Linked DNA regions of Schizosaccharomyces pombe. The gene in region 4 interacts genetically with the main gene of each other region. Each region holds a gene or a part of one and is shown on either strand. Other genes may lie near its edges. The genes, in order: vps5, pro2, rxt2 and gmh4.

What was found.
Region 1: mutations in gmh4 (region 4) and vps5 together harm fitness more than expected from each alone (negative genetic interaction), as found in Schizosaccharomyces pombe (one large-scale study listed by BioGRID).
Region 2: mutations in gmh4 (region 4) and pro2 together harm fitness less than expected from each alone (positive genetic interaction), as found in Schizosaccharomyces pombe (one large-scale study listed by BioGRID).
Region 3: mutations in gmh4 (region 4) and rxt2 together harm fitness more than expected from each alone (negative genetic interaction), as found in Schizosaccharomyces pombe (one large-scale study listed by BioGRID).

Annotation. Positions count from the first base shown.
Region 1 is NC_003421.2:699,271-707,640, reverse strand, and holds vps5 (retromer complex subunit Vps5), read right to left. Parts: upstream 5,045-8,370; 5' UTR 5,035-5,044; coding exon 3,304-5,034; 3' UTR 2,823-3,303; downstream 1-2,822. Other genes in the region: xks1 (xylulose kinase), read left to right, coding at 865-1,833, 1,919-2,413, 2,465-2,668; TATA-binding protein-associated factor TAF6, read left to right, coding at 5,960-6,091, 6,250-7,476; protein mug123, read right to left, coding at 7,896-8,370. UniProt on the Schizosaccharomyces pombe protein: Required for efficient sporulation target of PtdIns(3)P in vesicle transport required for onset of the forespore membrane formation. Plays a role in vesicular protein sorting.
Region 2 is NC_003424.3:2,024,856-2,030,951, forward strand, and holds pro2 (glutamate 5-kinase), read right to left. Parts: upstream 4,013-6,096; 5' UTR 3,898-4,012; coding exon 3,843-3,897; intron 3,719-3,842; coding exon 3,420-3,718; exon of another isoform or gene 3,344-3,419; coding exon 2,489-3,343; 3' UTR 2,353-2,488; downstream 1-2,352. Other genes in the region: actin regulatory protein gmf1, read left to right, coding at 480-905; cytochrome c-heme-linkage protein Cyc2, read right to left, coding at 1,308-2,108; ER protein disulfide isomerase Pdi2, read right to left, coding at 4,374-5,453.
Region 3 is NC_003423.3:448,695-456,917, forward strand, and holds rxt2 (Clr6 and Rpd3L histone deacetylase complex subunit Rxt2), read right to left. Parts: upstream 4,352-8,223; 5' UTR 4,346-4,351; coding exon 4,320-4,345; exon of another isoform or gene 4,271-4,319; coding exon 4,236-4,270; exon of another isoform or gene 4,186-4,235; coding exon 4,061-4,185; intron 4,012-4,060; coding exon 3,903-4,011; intron 3,723-3,902; coding exon 3,295-3,722; 3' UTR 2,333-3,294; downstream 1-2,332. Other genes in the region: nuclear membrane organization protein Apq12, read left to right, coding at 240-587; arg12 (argininosuccinate synthase), read right to left, coding at 1,077-2,309; pleckstrin homology domain protein Meu6, read left to right, coding at 5,536-5,903, 5,974-6,250, 6,308-7,618; histone lysine H3-K9 methyltransferase (Suv39) Clr4, read right to left, coding at 7,881-8,223.
Region 4 is NC_003423.3:1,385,760-1,393,757, reverse strand, and holds gmh4 (alpha-1,2-galactosyltransferase Gmh4), read right to left. Parts: upstream 4,223-7,998; 5' UTR 3,576-4,222; coding exon 2,665-3,575; intron 2,612-2,664; coding exon 2,536-2,611; 3' UTR 2,092-2,535; downstream 1-2,091. Other genes in the region: serine/threonine protein kinase Mde3, read right to left, coding at 37-111, 158-304; SPOM_SPBC8D2.18C (adenosylhomocysteinase), read left to right, coding at 790-2,091; SPOM_SPBC8D2.16C (uncharacterized protein), read left to right, coding at 5,021-5,146, 5,190-6,011; lipoic acid synthetase Lip5, read right to left, coding at 6,307-7,371, 7,413-7,460.

The DNA.
Region 1 (8,370 bases), on a different chromosome or scaffold from region 4:
ATTTTAAAAAATATGCTGGTTTTTTCATTAAAGATATTTTCGGCCTCATACTTTTGAGATGTAGCATTTTGTTTTAGCTAAAAAACATGTTACTCATTGAAAAAAATAAGCTTAACAAAACGAAAGTAAGTGGTTCGTTTCTCTAAGCTTAAATTAAGGACGCACATTACGCATATCTTAAAATGATATTTCAGGATCTTTGTGATAACGAAGCCTAACCACAACCATATAGGATTTGTATTATTTCTTGCTTTATTACATACCATTGCTCAGTTCTGAGTACAATTAACAAACAAGAAAATATTAAATTTATTGAAGTAATAACTTTTTAACGATTTTTTAAGTAAACGACTTCATTTCTCCTTCTTTTCGTGTTCTCCCAGAGTTCAGTCAATTGTTGCTGAAACAAGAGTTTTTAGCTTTATTCCTTGTCAGTATCAAACTTTTCAGCCATTTTTTTATATTGATATTCGATTTTGAAACGAATATCACTTTTTTTCAAAGAGTTTTTTGCCAAACGTGTTTCCAACGCGTTGTTTTTCTCTAGAGTAAACAAGGTACCTTACCCCAACAACACTCTGAGTTTTTTTAAGCTAACGTTTGAAAAGGTTTCGGTAAACTGTATCTAAGGTATTTTTACGAACATAATCGTAAGTAAAAACGGACATAAGTCACGGCTAGAACTTTTGGATGTCAATGGTTAACGATATATATATTGATCAGACATATAACTGCGGAAAATACAGCTTAAGGAAGGCGCTAAAACGAGATTTTTCTGTTAATTTGATTTTGTCGAAATTCATTCTTTCCGTTTCTTAAGTACAATATATCGACAGTCATTTTAAAGATTTGACTTTTGTGAATATGTTTTTAGGTTTGGATCTCTCAACTCAGCAGCTCAAGGGCGTGGTCATTGATGAGTCTTTGAACGTGCATCAAGAGGTTGCCGTCGATTTTGATCGGGATCTAAGTGATTACAACACTATCAAAGGGGTCTACAGGAATGGATATGAGGTTTTTGCTCCAGTATGTATGTGGCTAGACGCCATCGATTTACTGTTTGAGAGACTTAAGGCTTCTGTGGATGTTAGCAAAATACAAGCTATATCTGGTGCCGGTCAGCAACATGCAAGCGTTTTCCTGCTTAAGGGAAGTAAAAAAGCCCTCAATTCGTTGGATGCCAAATCTTCTTTAAAACAACAATTGGAAAGTCTCATTCATCCAACATCTCCAAATTGGCAAGATGCCAGTACTACCAAAGAATGCGAGGAGCTTGAATCTTGCATTGGTGGAGCCAAAGCACTAGCGGACCTTACTGGGTCTAAAGCTCACCTACGCTTTACTGGACCCCAAATCAAGCGTTTTCGTCGTTTGCACCCCGAGACATACGAAAATACCGAACGAATTGCACTTGTCTCTAATTTTCTAGCCTCGGTACTTCTGCAAACCGAGGCACCTTTAGACATCAGTGACGTTTGTGGAATGAATCTCTGGGACATTCAGAATGAGAAATTCGATATTCGCTTGTTGGAAGAAGTTGCTGGTAATTCTAAAGGACCCGACTTGGCTAACAAACTAGGTACGGTTGAGATTAACGGGGCAAAACATCTAGGACCAATTGGGAAGTATTTCGTTAAGAAGTATGGGTTTTCTCCTAACTGTCAAATCATTCCTTTAACTGGAGATAACCCTGCCACTATTTTATCCCTTCCTTTAAGACCGGGAAAAGATGTACTATTATCATTGGGTACTAGTACTACTGCTCTAATGGCTACTCAAAACTATGTGTGTTCTCCAGAGTATCACATGTTTGCTCATCCTGTTACGCAGAACGTAAGTTGAACTTGACTTTCTTTTGGTGAAGTAGTTGTTCAAAACTCATCATTTTCTCTGGTTTTCTAACTAACATGGACTTTAGCATTATATGGTAATGTTATGCTATAAAAACGGTAGCTTAGCGCGGGAACAGGTAAGAAACACAATCAATGAAAAATATAATGTTTCGGACAATACCAGTTGGGACCGCTTTAATGAATCGATTTTGAACCCCAACATTAAAGGTGCTGGTGAAAAGAAACAGCTCGGTCTTTTTTATCCACAAAGGGAGATTTTACCCGCAGTTGGACCGGGTACGTGGAGATTTGCAATCCAAGGCACCGAGTTGTATCAGGTGGATAAAGATGAAGAATCATGGGATTATCCAGATGAGGATGCTTCTGCCATAGTTGAAAGTCAAAATCTTGATATCCGCATGCGGATTACTCCTTTGCTAACTGGTATACCACAACCTGATCGTGTTTATGTTGTAGGAGGAGCTAGTCGTAACGAGGCTATTGTGTTTAAAATTAGCCAGGTTTTGGGATGTGATGTTTATCGGCTAAAACACGGCGGTAGTAATGCCTGTGCTGTTGGCGTAAGTGAACGGAAAATGTTGTTAATTAATAGTTACTGACCATCAATTTAGGGCGCTATCAAGGCTGCATATGCAATGAATGGAAAAGGATTTACCTTTGAAGAATATGTAAACAAATCTTGGGATGAGTCCAAGAAAATTGAACTAATCATGAATAAACCATCCGCCCAAACTTATGAAGAATATGGAAAGCTTTTACCTTTCCTCAAAAAGGCTGAAGACATTGCGATTCAACAGTCAGATATCCGGCATTGAATTGATTAAATGCTTTTCCATTTCGCACTTGATTATGTGATTAGCTATTGATATAACGAGATTATTAATGAAAGCGAAATCCACTTTTTTTTTTAAAAAATATGAATAAACCTTAGGATACAAAATGATAAACGTTTCCTACATGAACATTTTTTTGAGCTATCGTTTTGAGAGCTTTGAATCACGAGTCTAAATTAAGACAAATAAATATGTAACATAAAGTAGTCATACACCATATTATTAAACAAATTTTTGCATACGCTTTTACATATAAGTAACACAATTTAAGCAGGAAAAAGCGTTTAAACATAAACAAATATAAAAAGGCTTGAGTAACAAAGACAATTTTTAAAAACATACACAAGTTATTTATTTACAAAGGAGTGTAGGGTTGCTGTAAGGTTAGTAGATAGAATGCAATATTTTAAGGTACATTTTCTTTTCAAGTAATGAAGTACCATGGACGAAAAGGGAAATTGCAAAAAAATAATTAGAATAGAATAGAAATCGTCAGCTAGAGAAGTGCAAAGTAATAAAGCGGTAGTTGGAAATACATTAATACGAATATGGGATAGAAATATTACACGAAAGAAAAACATAAAAATTAAAAGAGTGCATAGGGAAAATTAGAGTCGTTATTGATCCAAAAATGATTCCCAACGCTCAATAATTTCTTTTTGAGATTCAATTGCAGATTCCAACCACGTTTCAACACTAGCTTTGAGATCATCAACTCTACTGGTTGTGAGAGAACTCAAATCTCGTTTTAACAGAGTTGTTGATTCCGAAAACTCTTTTTCCAGATCAGCAGCTTTTGCTCGATATTTTTCGTATTGTTCTTCCAAGTAAGGGAGTGATTTTTGCTGAGATTTCGCTTGCTTTTTACATTTCTCAAGTTGAGTTTTAGCACGAGAAACAGCTTGAACTGAAGATTGCCATGTCTGCCACAACTTTTGACGTGTAGTAAAGGCATTTTTGGCACTCTCCACGTACCGAATGTACTCCTCCAATGTAGTGCCCAGTGTCAAATTGTCTTGAGCAACCTTACGTTCTTGTACAAATCGAAGCTCTACCTGGAGTTGGGAAAGACCATCAAACTTGGATGATAAGGTGGGCTCTAAATCAACTAAAGATAAATTTCCAACAGCCTCGCCAAAATCATGGATGGCTGAAGCGAACTGTATGCGTTGATCTATGGATAAAAGAAGCGCGTGATAAACCGACTTTAGTTGAGTTTCCAACGAATCAAGTGTATCCTTTGCTTCAATTAAAATTGGATCCTGTTCGGAAAATTTAGAAGATCCAGAGGTATGGAAGGCGGAGGTGAATGAGTCAAGTAAACCAGATGTTGAGGGACCTGAGCGCAAAGGACTTGATGAACTCTCAATGAGAGTAGTACGATGTGTCATTCTAGGGTCAAATGTCTCTGCTTCAAGAAACAACTTAAATGAGTAATCATCACGTAGAACCGGATGGGCAGATATTTTGCGAAGCATTACCTCCAAGGCTGCTCGTCGCTGTTCAATAAATTCATCATCAAAACGGCCTACAACCTGCTTTTCCGGGATGGGAGGAATGATACAACCCGGATGATTATTAGAAAGCAATTGATAAAGAAAAGCAAAATCATTATATCGTCTTTGTACAGTCACATTGCTAACAGAAGGTTGATTGTGTTCCTCTAAACGAGTGGAAACCGAATATACGGTATGCGATTTAGTGATTTCCTTAACGGTATGAGGGTCATGAACTTGGATGTAAAACGGGGTAAGAGATTGAGGTGCCGCTGCCGGGTGCGCCTTCTGATTCTCCGTATCTGTTAATGAGGTTGAACCTTGCTTCTGGGAGGAGGCAGATGAGACAGTGTGTGTAAAATTTGGAGCAGAAGATGAGGCAGCGTCTAAAGTATCTACCGTCTGTTCTGAATTTGGTATAGTGGGATTTTCCGTTGCTCCGATAGGAGAAGGGGAAAAGGAGTTCACTTCTGAGATCCAAGGCTTATTTGCAGAAAAATCTGCATTCAAAGCGGGACTAGATCCTTTTAACGGATTAATTTTTGTATTTAAACCAACTTCCAAACGGTTGTTTTCGGGTGCCATAGAAGGTGCATCAGAAAATTGCAAGGGACCTAAAGGTGCAGAATCCAAAGTTAACGTTTCAAACGGAAGAGATTTCAAATTGACGCTTCGTTTCCTAGGAGATGTATAGATATGAGTTTTTGGTGGAGAAGCTTGAACATTCGGCGACTCTTCTTCCACTCCTTCAGCTGAGGGCTCTTGGTCGGTTTTTGGAGGGTTCAGTGGAGAAACGGAATCTGCGAATGGATTAAATGCATCGTCTTCTTCATATATATTATGCCCAAGCATGATGGTGGCCGGTTGGGTTTTTGGATCTGATCACTGAAATCGTGCCTGAAATGGTGATGCGCAGCCCAACGACGACTAGCGAAAAATAACGATGGTTAAATACGTTTAGCAATGCGGGGTGACTTGCGGTGCAACTAGATAAGTGTCAACAATTCAAGTTTCTAATTCCTTTTAAGGCTACATTAAATTATATTTAGCTTGTAGAAGCAGTATATTGCGTTATACAGTATTGTGAGTGGTGGGTGATAATATATTTATCATTGTAACAGCTAATAACTGGACTGAGAATGATGCTCTGTTCAATCTAGACTTCTAATTTTAACTACTATTTTATATCAATATCAATGGATGTTTTAGTAAACAAACATATAGTCTTCTGCTATTGTTCAACAAATTGAGATTAATTGGTATTCCATGTAGTGTATTTTGATGCGTAACGTAATGTTTAATAGCGATTTTAGTGTAGCTCACTGTCTTGTAAGCTACGCAGTTTGGTATCTGATTTAAGGATACGTAGAACTGCGGTGAGTTTTCCTTGTGATCTATTATATTACAATACACAGGTTGTATAAGTAGCAACTGAGTATAGGTATTGTATTAACTGGGTTATAATGTTACCTATCACTAATATAGCTCATAACTGAACTGAGGAACGAGGTTCAGCAGTAGCTCTATTTATAGTATTCAGATAATATAGATCTTAATAGATTATCATTAAGATCAATCTCCATATCGTATCATACATGGTACGATATATAATTAGAACATGTGACATATAGTGATACGCAACGTAGTGTATTATAGCGTAGTGTAGTATTGCTGACAAGTATGTTAAATAAAGCAGTTGCTTCTAACATCGTTAACTACTTCTCTGCAGATGCAATTCACTCATTGATCCATAAATCGTTCATCTTACTACCAAGTCATGTCCTTGACAGTATGGAATATTGAATCCATCAAAGATGTTGCTGAAATGCTTGGGATTGGCAATCTTGCCGATGAACCAGCAGCAGCTATTGCAATGGATCTCGAATATAGAATTCATCAGGTGGTTCAGGTAGGTTTCGTGAAAGTAGACTATGAGATTTTACTTTCTTTGGAAGAGGCTAAAATAACTAAAAAATTGTTGCTAGTTTTTTACGATGCCTTTCAATTTGCTAGATAGTCTGCTTTATTCTGACATTAAACATAATTCTCTAACAGTATTTGATTTAGGAAGCCACTAAGTTTATGGTTCATTCTAAAAGAACTGTTTTAACTAGCGCAGATATCTCTTCAGCGTTACGGACGTTGAATGTTGAGCCGTTATACGGCTTCAATAATTCTCGTCCATTAGAATTTCATGAAGCCGCTGTAGGTGCAGGCCAAAATTCCCTTTACTACCTTGATGATGAGGAAGTGGATTTTGAAAAAATCATAAACGCTCCTCTCCCTAAAGTCCCTAGAAACATTTCTTACAGTGCACACTGGCTGGCCATCGAAGGTGTGCAGCCAGCCATTCCTCAAAATCCAACTCCCTCAGATCACACAGTTGGAGAATGGGCATCCAAGGGTACTTCAGGGGTTATGCCAGGTGCTTCAACTGCTGCTAAAGAAGCTCGAAACGGTGTCACTTCGATGGACAACGTTGAGATAAAACCGTTGGTGCGACATGTGCTATCCAAAGAGTTACAGCTTTATTTTGAGCGTATTACCAGTGCATTGCTTGATGAAACTAATGTTGAGCTCCGTGATGCTGCCCTATCGAGTTTACGTGACGACCCCGGATTACACCAACTTTTACCATACTTCATAATGTTTTTATCGGATTCTGTAACTCGAAACTTAGGAAATCTTGTGGTTCTTACTACTTTAATGCACATGGCCTGGGCCCTTCTTGATAACCCCAACCTTTTTGTAGAGCCTTACGTCCAACAACTCATGCCATCCATCCTTACTTGTTTGGTCGCGAAGCGCCTTGGCAGTGATCCTAATAATCACGAGCATTATGCACTAAGAGACTTAGCTGCTTTTTTACTCGGGATTGTTTGTGATCGATTTGGTAATGTGTATTATACATTAAAGCCTCGCGTTACTCGCACGGCACTCAAAGCATTTTTGGATAACACCAAGCCATATTCCACTCATTATGGTGCCATCAAAGGCTTAAAAACTATGGGGAAAGAAGCTATTAGAGTCCTCGTCGTTCCCAATATCAAAGTTTACGAAGTCCTAGTTCGGAAAACCTTGGAAAAAGGAAATGAAGAGGAGATTTACGAGGCCAATAAATGTATGGATGCTTTGTACGACGCTTTGCTATTACTGCGGGATGATCAATTACCAAATCAACGAACTCTTCCGCCAAATGCTAGTGGTCTTCTTGAGAAGAACGTTGGCAGTTTAATGGCTGAAAAGATAATGAAGGAAAACGATACCTCATTGCTTCTTGGTCTGCTAGAATAGTCTTCGTTGGGCATAAAATATTTGTTTTTGAACAATTTAATCTATGAATCTCGGACTTTAAAATATTTACCCAATTTTCCACACTACCTAAACCATTATAGGTTCTATAATTAAAATGTTATTGATATTCATGTTACATTAAAACAGGAAGCACCGAATAGCTTTCAAATGAATAAAAATAGAATGATGATAATATTGATATAGTTTATTTCATGTTTTGATTAAAGATGTGAGACTAGCTGACAATGCCGGGTTTTAAATGAAAGAAATACGTAATAGAACAGAAAGGGGAAGGAATGCTTGATTATGCCAAAGAATGCGAATAAAAGTAAACGAATTAAAGCAATTAAACTAGGTGAGGGAATAGCACCATAATAAATAATAATACTTTATCAGATATCGATGGAAAAATAACTGCACTAATCGCTATCGAATTCATCATTGTCCCCCATATTTGTGATTACTAGACGTTTCATTCCTTCTTCAGCACTGTCCTCGTCTGAAGATTCAGAACTGCTGCTTCGTCGATTGACAAGATAAGATTGAATATCATGAGTAGGTGATCCGCTACGAGATTCAAAGCCGTCTGATTGAGTAGTTTCGGCTCTGGAGTCTGCTCTTGAATGTATTGACATTCCCATAATGGAAGGTGCAGTCCCACTATGGGTTGAGCTGGCACGTGAAGACTCAATCATTGAGATATATGTTGGTGCAGTATTCGATGTCGAAATTACCAATTCGTCCTCATCGTCATCCTTACCTTCGGTAGCAGATAATCGTGGAGTAAGAATGGTGTGCTGAGGAGCCATTGTACGTGAATGAAGCGAAGCAGGACGGGTGTGATAAACACCATGATGCTGGCTAGAAAATACCCTTGAGCGCATGCCTCCTAAG
Region 2 (6,096 bases), on a different chromosome or scaffold from region 4:
TTATTAGCTAGTCCCGATGACCAAAGACTTTATGAATGTTATTAAAAAAGTGATTGCATTAACAGGATATTCTTAGGAATATTAAAAAAAAACATTAGTTCGTTCAATCTTAGGTATTATATAATATTTATCCTTAAGTATCCTCTTTTTTTTTTTTTTTTTTTTTTTTTTATTTATCAAGTTGTAAATATAACACAATGCTTAAATTTGCCAATTTACGAACTTCAAAGATATCACATACGTGGATATAGACTTTTTGAATATAATAAAATTGATGAATAATTTGTATTTAAAAAATCAATAATTATCTATCAAAACTCAAAAATAAATTTTTAACTCCTAGCATGAATTTAAATATCTTTTAGGATTCTGCACGAACGGTATTAATTCAACCCAACAAAAGCACCACCCTCGAAATTAAATTTCCTTAATTGGCTATTGCTGTGGTTTTACATAAATATTATAAACTAACAAGAAAGATGTCATCAGAGGCTCGTATGTTCACCATTTCGGATACCACGATGAAAGAAATTGATCGATTTCGTTTGCGGTTGAAGAAATCAGTTATGTATGCTTTCATTCTCAAGGTTGATAAAGCTACTAAGGAGATTGTTCCCGATGGAGAAATCATGGATTTACAGAGTATTGAAGAGGTCGCAGATGAACTCTCGGAAACAAATCCTAGATTTATCCTTGTTTCCTATCCTACCAAAACCACAGATGGTCGACTTAGTACTCCATTGTTTATGATATACTGGAGACCAAGTGCTACCCCAAATGACTTATCTATGATTTATGCTTCTGCTAAAGTCTGGTTTCAAGATGTGTCGCAGGTGCACAAAGTATTTGAAGCTAGAGATTCTGAAGATATTACTAGTGAAGCAGTTGATGAGTTTTTGCATTAATGCTTGTTTATATGCGAGTTGAAAATGAACCTTTCCCTCGTTCACATTTTATGCAATTAATTATTTAAAGATATTTTGCTTGTATGGGCTTTCTTTTTGACATACTATACCTGCTTAGCAGCAGATGCATAAACCCTCAATAACAATTAGATTTAATGGATAAAAATTTATACACTTAGAAACTTTTTAAATACTATTTTTTTTATTTTCTCTCCATTACCTAAGAAAACCGCTCCATTTCATTGATAACACGTAACGTTTAAGAGTTCCCTTATTTGTATAAATTTATTTCCAAATCGGTAAAAATAAATTATTTGAAGATAAACAAAAAAATCGTTTTTGTATTATGCACAATTGTCCAAAGATCGTGCAACCCAAAATCTTAAGCCAAAAATTTCTAAACTAAAGCTTCCAAACTTTCCCAAACGGATTGTTTGATAAAAGTCCTTTGACTTCTCCTTGTCTTGCGCCATAATCAGCCTTCGGTCCGGCAATTGTAGAAACAAACTTCTGGCTACCGCAGACAATGCAAAGGGTATCCTTTAAAGGAACTGTAACATTATCCCAATCCAAAATGTCATGAATGTTTACCAAACGATTTTGGACGGACTTCACCCTTACGTTTGGGCATTCCTTTTCCAATTCTTCTTTTAGCAAAGGGGGCTGACCAGGCCTTGAGCAGTATACAATATCGACTGGGGATTTAACAGACTGAGCTAATTGATATATAGGAGCAATTCCTGTTCCTGCAACGATAGCTACGATTCTTGGGTACTTCGTACAATCGAGTTTGGTGGTTTTAAAAGGACCCCGAAGTTCAATAGTGTCCCCTTCTTTCTTAGAATGAATATAAGAACTAACGGGACCCTCTTCATACTTTCTAATAAAGAACTTTAATTCATTGGCATCCAAGTACAAAGGGGTATATGGTCTCTGGACTTGCATACTGGGATCACGAATTGTTACCTTAGCAATCGGTTCCAAAGTAGTAAGGTGTTCAGAAGGGCTCTGAGGAACTAACGAAAACAAGCTAGCATCGGATGTAAGCTCTGTAATTTTATTAACTGTAAATGGAGCATAAATTTCGGGATTAAGTCCTGGGGGCTTATTCGAATTTTTATAAGCATAATAACCACCTGCGCAACCAATAGCAAGACCTGCAGCTAAGATTTTAGGCAATTTCCTGTAAGTCGAGCTACTCATTGTTTTCTTTGTAAGTTTTACTGTATCAAGGGGAGGTTGGAATTGCGTGTACTTATATTCATCGTTTATGAAAGCCAAATCCAATCACAGGCTTCGTAGGAAGTATCCGATATAATACCAACAAAATGTACTTTGTTAATTACACAACTCAGTACAAAACGTCTGATTATTATCTAAGGTTAATAGTTTTTTAACAAAAATAAACAAATCTTAATAAATTTTCTAATAGATATTTATGGTTCTGTTTTTGTATATTAAGTTCGTAAACCTTCCTTCTATAACAAAAAAATTTCAATAACAGTAAGCCAATAATAAAGGTAAAAAACAGAGCAAAAACAAATTTTAGTAGTTCTAAATAAGCTAGTGATTAAATATATACATCAATGCTCATCAGAACTAACTTGTGAATCATGATGAGAATTTAAACCATGAACTACTAAATAGTCTCTGTAGGCGACATATTCAGTTTCGTTATATCCTAAGATGGATGCAATTTCTTTGCTTCTCTTGCCTTTAATCAAATCTATTTCAGTACTGCTGTAATTAACAAGGGCTCTGCCAATTTCCTCTCCGTTGTAAATAACCGTAACTGCTTGGTGAGCTGAAAAATGGCCATGTACTTTGGTTACACCAACTGGTAGTAATCCTGCTCTATTTGTACGGGTTATAGCCTCGAAAGCCCCACGATCAATTTCCAAACTCCCATGTGATTTAAGGCCGTGCAAAAGCCAAAAGTGTCGATCACGGATCCTTCCTTGCTTTTTGGCTACAAAGTGGGTATGCAGAGGTAATTCAACTGACTCATTTTTATTATCAGAGGATTCCTGACGGATTATATCGAATATACTCGAAGGTTTAGAACCACGACATATTATAACATTTACGCCTGAAGACGTTCCCAAATCTGCAGCGATCAATTTCGTCTTCATTCCCCCTGTTCCAACTCCACTACCGGGTGTGGAAACGTTTGCATTTACCATTGATGTATCATGAATTTTTAAAATAGGCTTAGCGTCAGGGTTGGTACGTGGGTTGTCTGTATACAAACAATCAACATCTGTAAGTAAAAACAAATAATCTGCGTTTATCATGCCAGCTGTAATTGCCGATAAAGTATCGTTATCACCAAAACGGATTTCTTGAACAGACAGAGTATCATTTTCATTTACAATGGGAACTACCCCAAAATGTAGCAACTCGGAAATTGTGTTCGCTGCATTTACATATTGGGATCTCTAAATATTAATAGTTAGTACCCGTCAGTAATTAAAATAATTTTTTAAGTGTCAACAATAATTATCTGAATCTTACCTCGGCAATGTCGTTTCTAGTGATTAAAACTTGCGCAATAGGCTGACGAAGTTGTGTAAATAAGGTATCCCATAAGGAAATTAGTCTTCCTTGACCGACCGCGGCAATTGCTTGTACAGCAGAAAGCTTTGAAGGACGCTTAGGTAAATCTAATCTACGAAGGCCCATTGCAATACCACCACTTGAAACCAAAACGACATTATGACCCAACTTTCGAAGCTTGACAACGGTTTCAACGATTAGTGACAAATTTGAAATTAATGGTTCATGAGTCTTTTCATCACAAATTGACGATGTGCCTAAAATAATGTTAGCAAAGCGTTTGTGATGCCAACAACGAGCAAACAAAGAAATACATATTTGAAAAAGTGAGATATAAAATTCATACATATGCTTTTGTATAGCTTACTATTCCGTGCTTACCAAGTTTGATGACAATTGTGTAAGTCTTATTTGTGCTTTTCGACTTCGGAGACATTTTAAAAAAAATCTACAAAGTTACTGTTGAAATTTATTTTTTAAAAAAAGGATAAATTTTAGTGGAATACGACTTGTCTTCACCTTTACAAATCAACGGCCCATCTAGTAGTGGTAAAATAACGGAAAGCCTTATAGCCCATTGATAAGGAATAATTATATGTAGGATTTGGATTTCAATTTTAAGGATAAAAGCCTGTTAGAGTATATAGCTGTTGAATTTACCTACAACGTTCTATTTAATATTAATTATTGTCTTTAGTTTATCATATACGTAGAAACTAAAAAAGACACAAATCATTAATGGAGAGAAAATCTATTTTTATAAGTACATAAAAAATTGTTAAAGGGTAATACTTTAACCTACATATTCCTCAGTATTTATCGAAAATATCATGAAACTGTTGATTTATTTATAAACCTACGGTCATAAGATTAAGTTTTTTCACCTATAACGTAGCAAACATTTCCAAATCACTAGTGATTACCAGGAAGGAAGGAATTTAGAATGTTAAGGCGAGTTTTAAAATCATCAGCACTGGCCAAAGCGATGCTCTTCTGGCGTAAAAGTTTAGACAAACGCTTAGCTTCTTTATGTACCCAATTTTCATCATTTAAAATCTTCTCAAAAACCTTCTTGTAATACTTAGTCCATCTAGATGAATCCTCTAAGGCTAACTGCTTGACTTTTTCAAGAACAACTTCCTTGGCAGCGTTTGACATATCCAAAAACTCAGCAGCAAATTCATCGAAAGTTGGAATACGGCCGGCAGTAGAAAGTAAAGTGCCATCGGGAGAACGTTGAGTTCCAGATTTCTTATTAATGTACTCGATCAAAGATTCTAAAGAACGATCTCCTTCGTATAATTCAGGCTTATCTTTATCATCTTTAGGAAAGAATTTGATGGTGGGAAAGCTTGCAACTTCATGTAGCCTTCCGATGTCAGCAAAGACGTCTGCATTAATTTTAACAATCTCAACGTTTGGTTCGTTTTTGAATACCTTGCCAAGAGTTTCGTAAGTAGGAGCCAAACGCTTGCAATAACCGCACCAATCCGCATAAAATTCAACTAAAACATCTTTTTTATCGTCCATAACAACCTTGTCAAAATTCAAAGAATCGAGCTCAACTACATTGCTAGGGAGGACAATCTTGCGTTTTTTGATACCAGTTTTCTCAGACACAAATTGAGTCAAACTGTCAACGTCGCGAGCATTGGAGTACTGAACTGGTTCAGATCCATCAGGAGGAAACCAGATCAGTGTTGGAAAACCAGTAATGTGGTATTTATCAGCAACATCGGAGTGTGTATCCGCATCAATTTTGCCAATCAAGACATCATTGTGGTCTTCGAAAAGAGCGCCAAGTTCTTCATACACTGGCGCTAAAGATTTACAATGTCCACACCAGGTGGCGTAAAACTCAATCAATGCTCCTTTTTTAGAAGCTCGGATAGTATTCTCCAACTCATTGAGACTTTGGAGCTCTACAACACCTGATGCAAATACAAGCGCAAAAAGCGCAAATATAACAAAACTCAGCAGAGGTAATCTCATTCTAAGTATTCTACTTTTCCAGTGTCCACAAATACGGGACAGGTACAACAAAAGTATGTATATGTCGTTGGGTAATGTAAGCTGTACGAAGCCGGCTGTGTCATGTTTGAATGAGCTTACTGAGCATCGTTACCCATGTTACCTATCTATAACAAAAGGAATATTCACTAAATTGCACTATTTAGTAGCTTCATTCGTCACTGTATTCTTTATTCCACACTTTGGTAAGCTTATATCGCTAGCGCATCCATGAACGCATTTTAAGACCTACAAATTATTGATTGAACTATTATACAAGAAAGCTCTAGTGAACCTATGTTATTAAGTTCAGTTATTGCTGTTATTACAGTACGTTTACTTGTCAATAGTAAAAAACTACCGTGCTCGGGCGTATCCCTATATTCAAATCAACTGAGGGTTAGCATTCAGAAAGCTTTAAGCAGTAATAAAAATCACAAACAAAAAAAGTGAACATTACAAACAATTTTTTTTCTATTTACAATTGATTTGAGGTTTATTAATCAAAATTAATATTAATTTTAGAATTGAGTAATGAATTTGATAAAACACATATGATCAAGAGTGAGTTGTTAATCGACCTCGAACCCCCACCAGGAGGTAGTACTACTTAGTAGTTTTAAAA
Region 3 (8,223 bases), 940 kb from region 4:
AGTAGTCTCGATATTAGATGAGATATGTTGACATAATCTGTTTGCCAGTTCTTTCTTTAAATGAGTTTTGTTTATAGAACCGTTTATTTCAACTCATCTTCCAATTTTTATTTTAACATATTTTATTAGCAAATGTAATCGTTGGTAAAATTCGCCTACAACGTCAACATTCAGTCAAAAAGCACACCTAACTACTCCCATCTCTATTACTCCCCGTTCATATTTTAACTTTTTAGAAAATGTCTTTGACATCCGTTTTATGGAATTTCGTCGCCAAACTTGCTGTGGACCATGGATTAAATACCAATCCTGATCAAGTCTTTCAAACCGTTGAAAATGTAGGCAAAAGTTTCGAAAAATATGAAACGTCTTTCCTAAAATCATTGTTCAATGGAAATCTAGGATTGAGCTTGCCCTCAGCTATTAATATCTTGACTTTGATTATAGTGTTATACTTCTCTTTGGTCATTGTAAATAAGACTACCAGTATTGCCCTTGCCCTCTTCAAAACACTTGCTGTAATTTCTTTTTTCTTACTAATCGGTTGTCTCTTTGCTTACTGGTTTATCAATAACGGATCTTTTTGAACATTGACTAGCAGCGTTATCTTCTTTGTTTTTTCAGATTACCGAGTACAAAGTGTTATGGATATGCTTTAAAAAATTTTATTTTAGTAATATATTTTTCATCTTTTTTGTTCCTCATTTCATTTATCATTCAAGATGGTTTCGACATTATTCTTGATTTTAGGACTGTATACGAAGAATGGCTAAAGGCCTGTAAAATATTTTTTAAATTAAAAGCATAGTATTGAGTACATTAAACATCTTAACAATTTGCGTTTGCAATATAAAACTTCAATTTCAATTAGTTACAGTTTTCAGAATTTATTTTTTTTTTGCAACAAAAATATTCAATTGACTTATCAGTGATATGAACGGAGTAATTCTATGAAATGTGAATATGAAAAGGAAGCCATCTCAAATAATACTTCTTATTTGCACAGCAGAAATTTGATTATTGCTTGGCTCAAGTACATGGTGAGTATGACATTATTATTGAGAACGACCTGGCATTTACATCCAATGTTTTCCTTCATCAGAGTTACGCAAACGCATAGACTCGATTTGGATGAAACCAGAGGTCCATGTAGGGTCAAATCCACCAAGCTCATCCATAGATGACAATTTCTCGTCATAAAGATGAGCAGTATCAGATTTACGACCGAGGACAGTGACATTGCCCTTGTAGACAGAAAGTTTAACTACACCGTTTACTACCTCTTGAGAAACGTTGTTAGCTGCTAAAAGCATACGAGTGCAGGGAGAGAAAAATTGTCCATTGTACAAAATTTTAGCGAGATTGAAAGTAACGAATTGGTCACGGAGAGCACGAACTTCACGTTCCATTGTTAAACCTTCCAAGTCCATATGAGCAGTACGCAAAATGGTTAAGCCAGGAGTTTCGTAACAACCACGACTCTTCAAACCAGAGAAACGGTTTTCAACAATATCGATACGACCAACACCGTTACGACGAGCGATAGCGTTCAATTGGTAGAAGATGGAAACGACTCCGCTAAAGGTACCATCCTTGCACTCTAATTTGGTGGGAGCACCCTTTTCAAAGTGAATGCTGAGCTCTTCAACCTCATCAGGAGCGTCTTTGGGATCAACGGTGAGCTTCCACATGTCCTTGGGAGGAGTCATACTGGGATCCTCGAGGATTCCAGCTTCATACGAGCAATGTACAATGTTTTCATCCATAGACCAAGGCTTTTTGGTGGTTTGAGTAACGGGAATGCCCTTAGCAGCAGCATATTCGAGCAAATCCTTACGACCGGCGAAGCGCTCGAAAAATACAGGCAAACGCCAAGGAGCAATGACTTGAACGTCTGGCTTCAAAGCGTAATATGCCAATTCGAAACGAACTTGATCGTTGCCCTTACCAGTGCAACCGTGAGAGACAGCGATACAGTTTTCCTTCTCGGCGATTTGGATCTGACGGCGAGCAATGATAGGACGAGCAAGAGAAGTGCCCAAGAGATAAACATTTTCGTAAATGGCGTTAGCTTGAGCAGCAGGAATGACGGTGTCATTGATGAACTCTTCACGCAAGTCCTCAACGTAAACCTTCTTAGCACCCACCTTCAAGGCCTTTTCACGGGCTGCATCCCAATCTTCCTCTTGACCAACATTAGCCATATAGCAGATGACCTCCCAACCTTCTTCAATAAGCCAGGCGAGGATACAGGAGGTGTCAAGACCACCTGAATAGGCGAGAACGCAACGTTTTACTTCTTGGGGCATTTCTTTCTTTTTCTTGAGGTGTAGTATATGTTAAGTTAGTAGGCCCAACCTTTTAAACTGATAGCGCACTGATGTAATAATATAGCCGACACTATTTTTTACTATCTTTCTCATCAATAAACCATCTTTATAGATAAACGATGGAAATTTTACACACATCTGAAAATTTTTCTTAGTATAGGAATTCTTAACAAAAATTTAATTGAGAAATGTGTGAAAACAGGTTTCGGTTAAATTACATGCAGGAATCGTAAATATCTTGTCACACATGCATTGATTAGTGTGTCTGAATTTAGTTTTGAGGAAGAAAGTGATACAATCATATCAGGGACAGTCAAACAATAGTTCTGATGGTTTCAGGTTTTTAAAGATTGATGTTTACTTGAATATGTTTTGCGATAAATCCTTGTAATCTTGTTGTTTCAAGCACTTACATTGTTCTAACAAAAAGAAGGTTGGGCAATTTCACAACAAATAACAATTTTAATACTTTGGGGAAATGAAAAAGCAAAATAAAGGATAAGTAATGTATTAACATACAAATGGCAAGCACATGTTAGTCGGTTGATTGAACGAAAAAATATACAACAGTGATAAATGAAATTATGTAACAGCAAACGTAAACGTACTTCCCTTGGAAAGAATAAGTAGAAAAAAGTGTGGATAGAAATTAGGATAGCCAAAGGGAATATGTAAGTAGCAGTATCTCAAATTATAAGACAAAGTTTCTAATAGCTGGGGATGCCAAGCTTGAGAAAAAACCCAACGTTATGAAAAAGTAAAAGAAATAATTAAGTTTCATTGCAGAAGAAATCACCAAAGACGTTTTAAAAAAGGATAATTCTATTTTTATAATGTCGTAAAAAGGAATTGTAAATCGAATGGAATAAAGAATAATATTCTCAACGTTTTATTTTGCTGACTTATACGCTTCATCAGCTTCAAAATAATGAAATTGAAAAGATTGATGAGAAATCAATAAATTTTAGGAATTTGGTTTTCCATCACTCTCATTTTTAGACAAAACTTGGGTATTACCATTATAGTCTTCACCTTGGCAGTAAGCAATGACTTTGTTTTTAAAACGAATGGCCCGAAGAAGGTCCATGCGAACGTTTGTCCAGCATCTAATAAACTCCTTGCTTTTTTCCAAAGCTTCTTGAACTGTGATCGTCAATTCTCTACACTGTTCAGGAGAAATCCCAAACACTTCATGAGGTGGTCCTGGTAGTGATGGGTCATCACCTAAAAGTGCAACCATCAATTGTTCGAGATGAGCAGTATATTTGTGTTCAGCAGATATAATTTCAAGAGCAGAAGAAGCAAGGATTGATAAATAATTTTGTTCAAATATGGAAGATATAGCAGGATGTGTGAGCAAGTCTTGTGGTTTTGTCAGCGGTGACATGATCTCTATAATTTTTACTGAGTTAGCAAGCGATCGATGTATATGACCATGATTGGCGAGTGCTGATAACTAATATTTCAATTCAATTCATAATCAATCTTTGAAAACACAACACGAAATCTCCAAAAGCACAATGAATCAAAAAAATTGTATGTCTAACATAACTAAGTGTGTGTACGACTTACCAGCTATGTTTATATCGTTATATGGGTTATCATGGTCCAACCATTCCGGATCTATTCTCCTTCGAAAATGAGAGACAACTCCTCTTTTAGTATTACCAATGTTATAGTACTATAAAGTAGTGGTTAGCAGTTTACGATTCCCAATTACTCACACATACATCAATGTCTATAGAGGAGCCACTAGAGTTACCGACGCAACCATAATATACATTTTTCGATCCTTTCTTTCTTTTTAATCCACGATTTGTAAGTGCCTCTCCAATGGAAGAGTCGGAATCCGAGGCTATACGAGATGTTAGTGAAAATTATAAATCTCATTTTGACAATAATTACCATCAGAATCTTCAAATAACGCCTGCTTAAACCTTCTAAATTTGTTAGAAAAATACATAATACGTGACATTCATAAAAACCTACTCAATTTGTTCTTCAAATTGCTTCATGGTTTTTGGCACGTCAGATATTCATACTTACTCAATCCAGTACAAATTAGCGATTTCTATCGCATTATAGCGTTTACATAAAATGCGAAAATAACCTGGCGTAAGTTGGGTTACTTATTCAATTTATAAATAAATAGTATTGAAACAAAAATATACATTGTTTTAATCGTTAGAGGTAAGCTGCTAGTATTCTTGAATAATAAGAAAAATCCCTTTCCGCAGGTAGGGCCTGGTTTATTTTGCTTTCTCGATATTCCTTTTCCAATTTTTACATGGATGGAAAGACCAGCTTTTTAACTTAAAAAAATATTTAAAAAAAATAATTAATCCATAGAGAATAATGTATTATTATGGAACTTTTATATTCTCACACTTTTTCTCCTACAAACTTATGTCGTTATAATGAAACAAATTGCTATAGTTTTCTTGGAAGAAGTGTAAATATTAAAAGGAAATTTCCAATTCAAAGATGTGGAAAGCATTAAAAAACATCCTTCCATTCTATTGAAAATTTTAAACAATTTGAAAATACCTCGAGTTTGGATTTGCTTTTTTGAAACTAGCGTTCGTCAAAAATAATAAGTAAATAAATAAAAATTTAAAATCTCGTAAAATTCTTACCAATTAAAACCTACTTAGTTTTTAAGCAAAACAAATGAGCAGAATAGTTAAACAACATTTAATTTTTATAAAAAAAGGAACTAATGGTGACAATCATGTATAAAGTCAATGAAAAATATGGCTCATCTGTTGTTGTTAAACAGATTTCAACTCAAATGAAAATTTTAGGATGGTAGTCGCAATTAGAAATTAAAGACAAACACTTAATTGTAAAATCTCTCAATACTATATAGTTCATTCAATCGCAGACAGCTCGATTCCAGAAGAATGTATATGTTTTGATACGAATGAGCGAATACAAGATTTAATGGCCGTTGAAGATTTTATTAATAAGAATGAATTAGTAGAAATTTTTTAACATTTAAAAAGTAAATTCTATGTATTTTCCCTTTTCTATTGATGTCCATCGTTTGTTTGTATATTAGGTAGTCGATTTGTTTGTTTACATTCTCGCCAACAATTGGTATTCAAATAACCAGCTTGGCGCAGACTTTTCCTCTACCACAAATATTTACAGCATAAAAAAAATCCAAAATTGAGAGCCTAACTGTTGTTTTCGACTTCTTATCATGTCTTATGAGGGCCGTGAAGAACGACCTGAGCAGATTGCTGAACCTACTTTCGAAAATGTGTCGGAACACAATGAACATGATTCGGGATCTGCTGAGGCCCAGGTGGAGACACTGGAGGTGCCATTGAGCAACGAAACCGACAATGATGATGCCACTGAAAACGCTGTTCCTGCAGAAGTACAAGCACCTGAGGAACCCAAGGAGCCTGAAACAGTCGACAATATCGATCCTGCAGATGATGATCCAAACAGCGTGGCAGCTCCCAAGGTTGAAGAAAAAAAATCCAAGAAGAAAGCCAAGGATGAAAAACCATTGACCTACACCACTGGTGGGTATTTATACTGTCGATCCAACGGACTTATTCCGTAAGTCAAAACAGCATCCATTTATTAAAAATCAAACAATCGATTGAGTAATCTTACTAACCACATGTAGTCATGTCATGAAAAGGTATTTTTATATGCTAGAAGGCCCTATGTCTATGGATTTATTAGACCATTATTATAAAAAACACTTCCATGGTACTTTGCAAGGTAACCCAACGGAACCTTCCTTAGCTTCTGAGCAAATGCACGACTCTGATGCTGATTCCCTCTTCCAGTCTGCTAATGATCACCTTAACCGTATCGCTAAAGCTACTCAAGACTGCCGTGGTTTACTCTTTTACTCCAAATCTCAATCAACTAGTGTCCCAAGCGGAATCATTAATTTGGTAAGAATTCCTAATTCCCCTGATTTTTAGTTTTAACCGTGCTAACTGTATTTTCAGACTGATGCAGTATCCATAGAACCCGGTACTGGAAACAAATTCACCATCAATTTTAACAATGGTAAATCAGAAACACTTGAAGCCCTAGACCCAGAAAGTAAAAATACATGGATTACTGATCTCAAAAATGCCATTGCTAAGAAAAAGGAAACCAAAGATAAAATTAAAGAGCTTCGTGCTTACAATGACACGCTTAAAAGACTCGGCAAGTTAGCAGCTCGTTCAGGTCCTTCAGCAAGTGAAACATTTCGTTATTTCCTTCCAATGCTTTCTAACGGACGGGACGCGAAAAAGTCATCTAGTAAATCTCATGGCGGAAAACAAAACAATTCTGTTGCCAAAGACGGTCTTTTTGACTTTTTTCAAAACATGATTAAGGGGAAAACTCCGCAAAACGATACGGCTAGTCCCATTGATAATGAAACGTCAGCTGACCCGGTTGATACTACTGTTGAAGCACAATCAGTCGAAGTTCCTGAGAATGAAACTAACCAAATTCCCACCACTGAAGAACATTTTCCTGCTACTACGGAAGAAGTGGCTCCCGCATCAGAAGAAAAACCAGCCACAGGTCCGGCAGAAGAATCAACATCAACTCAAAATGTTGAGCAAGCTTCTACTCAAAATGATAACGGAACCCCCATCGGTCAAATAGCAGACGCCATTGAAGAAGATGTTAAAGGTACAGCCCAATCAGTTGAACAAGCTTTCATAGAAGAGACTGATATTGCACTTCCTGATATAGCACTTCCCGATGTTGCGACCCCTACTGCAGACGATCAAGACCCTTCCACTGCAGCTACTAATGAAGAGAGTGTTGTCAGCAATGAAGATAGAACGTCTAAGAAAGCCGGAAAAAAGCATCATCGGCATCATAAGAAGAAAAAAGGAGGCAACAAGAGAGTATTCGGCTTTAAGCTTCACAAGTATGCTAAACCTACCAAAAGTGTTAAAACTTTACAGGCAGATCCTTCCCTTGAATTTGCTAAGGCAGGATTTGAGATATTTCCTTCCAACCTTTCAAAGAAGCTCTCAGGTTTGGTGCAAAAAAAAGTGCATAAGAAGTTTGATAAAGACGGGAGACTAAAAGAAATTTCCCAGTTCTCAAAAACCACAATAAAACCGGAAACTCCCTTAACTCCTACAACAACTCCAACGCCTCGAACAGCTGCACAAGAAGACCCAGCTGAAGAAACAACTGATGCCCTCGCCTCAGCAGAAGGAGAAAACAATCAGATGCCCCAGGTGCTCGAAACAGAAGCAGCTCCTTCTATAGCTTCTGAAGGACGGTCCATTACCGTTAACGCTTAAACGCCCTTTTTACTTCACATGTGCGCAGCAGATGAAAAGAGTTTTTCCATTAACGCTAGGCTTTACAACAATTACTATAATGCTTTCAACAAGTGTAAAAAATATAAGCACCGATATGTTTTACCGATAATTGTTCGGCAAATCCCACAGGTCAGATAATATACATAATCTCGTTGCTTAGAAAATGAATGACCTTTTTCAGTTTAACAGTAATGGAGAAAAACAAATTGTAATTATTGGAGTCAACCAGTAATAAATTAGCTTAACCGAAAAGCCAGCCACGACAATTAGCGGAACCACATTTGCACTGCCGGCGAAGTTTTGAAATTCTATTTTGCTGAGATTTTTGAGATTGAACAGGTGAGAAATCTTTTGCACCAGCGTAATCAAATGTAAGCTCCTCTAGAGGCTGAATGTCTTTGATGGCAAAAAAAGCGAGATCATAAATGGTTCGAAATCCATGGTTCCGAACAGCAGAATAAATAGCTATATTAGGTGAACAGGAGTGGTTAAAAAAACGAGAGACATCTCCATAGTTCTGAGCATCCACTGTATACTCGCTAGCATCATCAAACATGTCTAAATCAAATAAATAGGTAATACCG
Region 4 (7,998 bases):
TCTTTGGTTTCTTCTTCTAAGATTTTAAGTACTTACCAAGGATTCTCTCAGCTTCAAAAGTTCATGCTTTGGTTTGGGCTTGCTACTGTTCTTTAATTTCTTCACCGCAACCTTCACAATTGTTAGATTTCAGAAGTTTGTTTTATTCTTTTCTTACTGTTTCGTAAAGTCCGTTTTTTTCTTTTCTTTGAGCTAAATATACCGTTCCAAAGCTGCCATCACCGAGCTTTTGCTTAACCAAATATCTATCTTCAAATATGACTTGTGTCAAATCTAACACTGAGTAAATACTTTCATTACTCATTGTATCTGTGTTTTCAGTAAAATATGTATAGTGGTAGAAATAGAAGCTGAGAATGGGTTTGTTTATGTTTGTTTACATTCCAACATATTACGCGCTTGGCTGCATTTACTCACCAAGCTCCTGCTAAAGAGCTTAGAATGAGTAGATCTTTAGATTAAACTTCAAGAATTACAATAAATATATGTTTTTAAGTGAATTACCTGAATTTCAAACATTTTCCCATTGCAGATCGATCGTCATCTCGTAAACTTCGTTTTGGAGGAATATTTTTTTATGAAAAGTTTTTATTGAATATTTTTTATTTAATAAAACTTTTTTCTCAACAAATTTGATTAAGAGGCTTACTGTGCTTAGTCGACTCATTTTTTCGCACTTCAACTCATCCTTTGCCAACCATTCGTAAGGACGTGGTAGTTGATCTTTTGCTTGATACATCTATTTTTTTTTACTATTTTTAATAGAATCATATAATTTTTTAACTCATTATGGCTACTCAAAACTACAAAGTTGCTGATATCTCTCTTGCTGCCTTTGGTCGCAAGGAGCTCGAAATCGCTGAAAATGAGATGCCCGGTTTGATCGCTGTTCGCGAGAAATATGCCAAGTCTCAGCCTTTGAAGGGAGCCCGTATTGCTGGTTGCCTTCACATGACCATCCAAACCGCCGTCCTCATCGAAACTTTGGTTGCTTTGGGTGCTGAAGTTACCTGGTCCTCTTGCAACATTTATTCTACTCAAGATCATGCTGCTGCTGCCATTGCCGCCACTGGTGTCCCTGTTTTCGCCTGGAAGGGTGAGACTGAGGAAGAATACCTCTGGTGTATTGAGCAACAATTGAAGTCTTTCCCTAGTGGTAAGCCTTTGAACATGATTTTGGATGATGGTGGAGATTTGACTGCTCTTGTTCATGAGCGTCACCCTGAACTTTTGGTTGACATTCGTGGTATCTCTGAGGAGACCACCACTGGTGTTCACAACTTGTACAAAATGTTCAAGGAGAACAAGCTTAAGGTTCCTGCTATTAACGTTAACGACTCTGTTACCAAGTCCAAGTTTGACAATCTTTTTGGATGCAAGGAGTCCTTGGTGGATGGTATCAAGCGTGCCACTGATGTTATGATTGCTGGTAAAGTTGCTGTTGTTGCTGGTTTTGGTGATGTTGGTAAAGGTTGTTCAACTTCTCTTCGTAGCCAAGGTGCCCGTGTCATTGTCACTGAAGTCGATCCCATCAATGCCCTTCAAGCCGCTATGGACGGTTTCGAAGTCACCACTATGGAAGAGGCTGTTAAGGAAGGTCAAATCTTTGTTACCACCACTGGTTGCCGTGACATTATTCGTGGTGAGCACTTCAACGAAATGAAGGAGGACTCTATCGTTTGTAACATTGGTCATTTTGATGTCGAGATCGATGTCGCTTGGTTGAAGGCTAACGCTAAGGATGTTGTTAACATCAAGCCCCAGGTTGATCGTTATGAATTGAAGAACGGTCGTCATATCATTCTTTTAGCTGATGGTCGTCTCGTTAACCTTGGTTGTGCCACCGGACATCCCTCTTTTGTTATGTCCTGCTCTTTCACTAACCAGGTCCTTGCCCAAATCGCTTTGTGGACCGATAACACCAGCTATCCTCTTGGTGTTCATATGCTTCCCAAGAAGTTGGATGAGGAGGTTGCCCGTCTTCATTTGGGTAAACTCGGTGTCAAACTTACTACTTTGACTTCTGTTCAATCCGACTACTTGGGTATCCCTGTTGACGGTCCTTACAAGGCTGATCACTATCGTTACTAATCTATTCTTATCATTTAGTTTATAGAATTTATTTTGAAGTTATAATTACTTTAAAAATGTTTCAGCCTCTTTTTTTTGCATGAGTGATGTTTCAACAGCATCTATGTCTCTATGTCGCCATGAAATGCATTAATGTTATTCAACTGGGTTTATGTGGATTTCAGGTCAAACATAATAAATGTTTCTTTCTTTGCATAGAATAGCAATTAACGTGCTTTCATTAAGAAGATTTGATGAATATAACATATGAATTGCTTGACTTGTAAACCAATCTGCGATGTATTTCCGTAAACGAAAAACATATCTTCCCTTGATCAAACAAAGGAAATTAAGTATAAATTCATTAAATTAATGTAGGAATATGCAAACCACCGAATTTGAAAGATAGGTTTAGATGAAGATGAGTTACTGGAAATGAAAGTAAGATGCTAAGACAGTACTAACCTACGATTGTTCATCAACCGTTTCTTCCGAAAGCTGCTTTTTAATGGCTGGAAGTTTTCTCTGTTGATAGTAGTTGCTGGAAGTGTTAGTAAAAATACAAGAGACCAAGATGATAAATAGAATACATACTCGAATATACGCTCGCATGCAGCAGCGTTCTCACAGTCCTGAAGAATAACCAAGAAATCACCTTCTTCGTAATTCAAATCGACCGCAGAGTTGGTGTATGAATTTAAAACTTTAGGAGACACAAGTGCAACATGATCCAAGATAGTGTTATGTGCTTCCAATAAGTGGGATAGCGCAGATCGCTCAGCTTGATCAAAACCGGCGGATTTCAACAAAGGTTCATTCCAAGCATCTAAAAGAAATGGCGCAAAGTTGTTATTTTTAATAAGCAAAGAACGCGTACTAATTCCATTATAATCACTGGTGGTAATTACAAATACATCAGATGGATCCATTTTACGGCGTGTACGGATGTAGTTCTTTAATGGATCGATCGGAGAATTAAGAAGCAAATGCTGCGACAGTTTTTCTGGTTTCAAGACCCTATCCTTGAGAGATTCGGAAGGATTCATTATAACAGCCTTTGCATCGAGCAACCATATCCAGCCAGCGTCGGGATACTCAGCCAAAGTTTCCCTCAAAGCTGGGATAATACTCCAAGTACCATAGACACCATACCTCGCTTGAATATCGCGGGCTTTCTTGTGGACTAGGGTATAGCCATGACGCAAGGCATACTCTGTACGATCAGAAAGCACTTTATCCAGGAAGACAGAGCTGGAGTCAGATCTACTTGAATCATAATGGTCGTCAAAACTAACAATCAACATGACTACGGAATCAGGATCTTGTGGAGATGTTTTCGCCTTAGAAACACCTTTGTATGAAGAGGAATGGGCACTGGGAGAACCAATCGAATTGGAATAAACAGGCATTGAAGACTTTAAAGAATAAAAGCCAAAAAGCAATAAAACGATGGCCAAGAGACCTAAACTTTTTCCTCTACGAGAAAATAAACGAAAGTTGAACATCTTGCAGAATACAAAGTAAAAAAGTGCAAAACAAACAGTTTGCGAGAAAAAATGAGTTGGTTATGCGCGTCTATGGAACAAGATAACGGTTTAAAAGAATAAACCTTAGGGGTTTTTTAAATGTGCAAATAATGTAGAAAAGAAGGTAAGAGAATATCTGTAAATCGAGAAGGTATAAATAGAGAAGAGAAAAAAAGGTATAAAGATCTGGGTCGTAAAGAAAATGGAATATATATGGCCCTTTTTTAAATGCAAATAAATGATCCAACGATATATACGCGAGTATATCCGAAAATTAAAACAGTAAAGATGTTACAGAGGGCGTTTTCACTAAGAAATACGAAAAACCGGATAATGAAAGAAACCTTGCGAGAACACAACGCCTAGCTTTCAAAATGAGCCTTTTTGTCAAGCTATATCGGCGATATTTAAAAAAGAGGAAGATTCTACAATTTAAACAACAATAGATTATAGCTTATCCTGACAACAATCCTTTTACACCGTTTCAAAGACTACGAGTCAAGATGGACTGGTTATTGATATTGAATATGATTTTTACAGAAATCAGGATCCACCCAACCACGTACTAAGAGCAGAGAAACGTTGCTTTTATAATTGGCAGCAACTTGGCTGTATTTGTAGTCTGCGTGTTCGACATTCGAAGGATTTTGATTAACGTGTACGATGCATCCTACCTAACGTACTCTAACGTGTTTTTAGATTTTTTTAGTGATATTGAAATTATACTTTAAACTGTTATAGCGTTATACCCGGTGCTACTCATTATATAGCGAAAATCATAAAAGTAAATAGTAAATAGAGTAAGATTGAAGATGAATTGAATCAGAGTCGATGAACTTCTATTGACTTAAAAAATTATGTATGTAATTAATAAAATATCATCTTGTTTTTTCTACTAACAAATTTTTACAGCGGTTATATACAAGCTTCGGCGTGTATAGTTGGTTTATATAAATTGCAAGCAAAGTGTACACCATTTTTTTTATTATTTCCATATAAAGAAAAAAAAAAAAAAAAAAAAAGGGGATTCTATAGCCCTTTGGTATTTACGAAGACTCATTGATAGTTTAAATCGCACTCATTGAATGGCATTAAACACATTTGTTTGTTTGAATTTTTTTCATTGTTTATGAAGTACAGGATTTTTTTTTTTACCTATCAATAAAAGTATTGATATAAAATATCCCTTTACCTTGATCAATACTTCAAAAAAAATTTAAAATTAGTTTAATTATATTAAATGGACGGTTTTTAGCCTGGTAAATGAAATTCATGCCTTTACTCTTCACCAACTTTTTAAGACGTTAAAATTTTTATAAAAAGCCAAATCCTAATATTCTGTTTCCCAAGACAGCAAAAAGTAAATAAAATACTGCTACTTGGGCCATATTATTACTTCTCATTAATTGCTTACAGAAACTGCTATGGAAAAAGAAAGCGAAATACAAAGCTTACCACCAACGAGACGATATACGATATCTTTAGCATTACCTATTTCAAGTCTAAATGTAGCATACAATTTGCAGCTTAAAACGAGTTTTGTCTGGAAGGTTTGAAAGATTCGTTGTTGTCGCGTATTAACTCAAAATATAGATTTCGAGAATAGTTTCTCTATATGGTATTGACGAAATTATTTTGCTAGAGGACCCTGAATATGTGCAAAACACCCAGGTACATACACTTTCCTCTGATGCTTATTTAAAGGATCCCACAAAATTTCTCACGGACTTATTATGCTATTTCGAAACGCCTTTCTTTATGAGGAAGGAATTGTTTCCACTAAATCCACATCTAAAATATACTAGCTGCTTTCCATTACTTCCCCTCAGAAATGACAAGGCTAGCACAGTGAATATTGAATTCCCATACCGAGAGGGAATCGTTACTCATCCATCTCCGCAAGCAAAGAATAAATATATTATAAATGCTGGACTATCTCACAATGTAATCGTTTCCAGCCCCAGCGTCCTTGCTCCTAGAACAAGGGTCACGGTTCGATTAAAAGCGCAGTCTCCAAACGAAGAAGGCCAGCTTCAAGGTGATATCGTGTCTTTTTCAGCTCCACGAGAAAAAGGTGGTCATTATTGGGGTTACAAGGTGCGGTCATGTCTTTCTTCTCAGCTGTGTAAAAGTTCTCCTTACAAAGGTGGATATGACTTTGTTGTTCAAATCAACAGTCAGACTTCAGCTATTACTTCAAAAGAGTTAGAAGCGAGTTTACCAAGTTCGTTTCGGCATGCTGTTCTTGTTTTACAAGACAATGTCGTACAAAAAGAGCTCGTAGACTCCACTGCCAAAAGTATTTCTTTTAACCCATTCCCAGTTTCTTTTCTAAATGATCCCATTCCTGAAGAGATACTTTTGGCGGCCATGACCCGTTTGTCAGATATGTTGCTGATGCATGGACGACGATAAAGCCTAAATACTTACAAAGGTGAAGCTGTCTTTTTCTTACTTAAATATTATAAAGCTGTCTCGCTAATCAAGGAAAACAAAATCAATTTTGAATATGATAAATTATAAGGATAACTTGGGTATAAAGACGATATTAGAAACTAAGACGAGAATTATTATGATTAAAATTATATCTAAGAGTGTATTGTTGAAATAAAGAATAAAAAAATTTAAAAGATGATTCGAGTCAATGCAAAAAAGGGTAATTCTGTTGAAGACAAACTCCTATCGAGTGTACCTAGATAAGCAGCCATGTTTAAACACTCATAGAAGCAGGGTTTCCTGATCTCTTTTTAATAAGATTCTCCATAAAATATTCGCCAGCCTTATAGCTACTACGAACAAGTGGACCACTAGCCACGTATAAGAATCCTAATTTCTCTGCCACTTCTTTCCAATATTCAAACTTCTTAGGATGTACATACTCTTGCACTTTTAGGTGTCGTTTGGTAGGTCTCATATATTGACCAAAGGTAACGACATCTACATTATGTTCCAGGAGATCCTTAAGAGTTGTTAGAATTTCCGCATCGGTTTCACCTAGACCAAGCATAATACTGGTTTTAGTGATAAGGTGAGGACATGTTTTCTTCACATGTTTTAGCACGCTCAGACTTTGTCGATATGTGGCTCGTCGATCTCGAACAAATGGGGTAAGTTCCTCTACCGTTTCTACATTGTGTGCAAAGACGTCCAAACCAGATTTAGCTACAATCTCAACCAAATCCATTCTTCCACTAAAATCGGGGGTCAAAGCTTCTACCAAGATGTGCGGGGCTTTTTCTTTAATTTTTTGAATCGTTTTTGCTATATGATTGGCACCAAGGTCAGTCAGGTCATCTCTATCGACACTAGTGAGAACAATGTACCCAAGGTTCCATTGTTTGATGGCTTCTGCTGTATTTTCAGGCTCGTTGGGATCTAAAGGACCTGGACGGCGACTGGTCTTTACCGAACAAAAGCGACATCCACGAGTACAAGTATCACCCATAAGCATGATCGTAGCTGTGGCACGAGATTTGTCTTTACCTCCCCAGCATTCTCCAATATTCGGACATTTCGCTTCTTCACAAACCGTATGGAGATGAGATCCCCGCAAATCATGCTTTATTCGGTTAAAATTTGTTCCTAGTGGAACTTTGGTTTTAAGCCATGAAGGCAATCTTTTGTGTATAGAGCCATTTGGTAGCTCTACTTTTCTATCTAACTCGAAAGCTTCGTCAGCAGTCAATGGTTTATCCATGTTCAAGAAATCTGCAAATGATGGTCCTTTCGCCAACTTTTCTGAAAACCCTCCAGATTGAAACCTCACGGAGGCAAACTATGCTATATTAATAAAACTATAAATAAAAGAAAACTCACCCAAAAATTGTTTTTTAATATCGTAGCATTTCGACCTATTTTCAACATTGCTGTGTAGAGGAAGTAAGGACTATTAGACAGTATGGGATTGGATATAAAGTACTAACCTTACTACTACCTATTATCCGTGTTAGCCCATCAATAGAAAACAGATGTTTTAAACGTTATTTTACCTATTAAACAGTCTCCTTCATAATTCGAAGTTTCGTTTTTTTTGTTGAATACGACTCAGTTTGTGGACAATTGTAAGAAAATTCAAAACATTAAACCAAGCTGTTTACCATAGTTTTGGACACTAATCAGCCAAACTACAAGCGTAAAGTAAAGATATAATTGAATATTTTTTTCAAATAAACTCTCAAAATTTTGTGGTCTCACGTACTATGGTAAATTTCTCGTCATAGGGATTCTCCTATTTTTTGAGTGATTTTCAAAACTTTAGCTTCCTATTATGAATATGTATAGTATGTTTCTGCAAGGTCACTTTGATTTCGACTTCGATTTACTCATTTATGAAAGCCCTGTAAAAACAGGCCTAGACAGATTTTCTATGTAACCTTTTAATTTTAGAGACACATATGAGTAT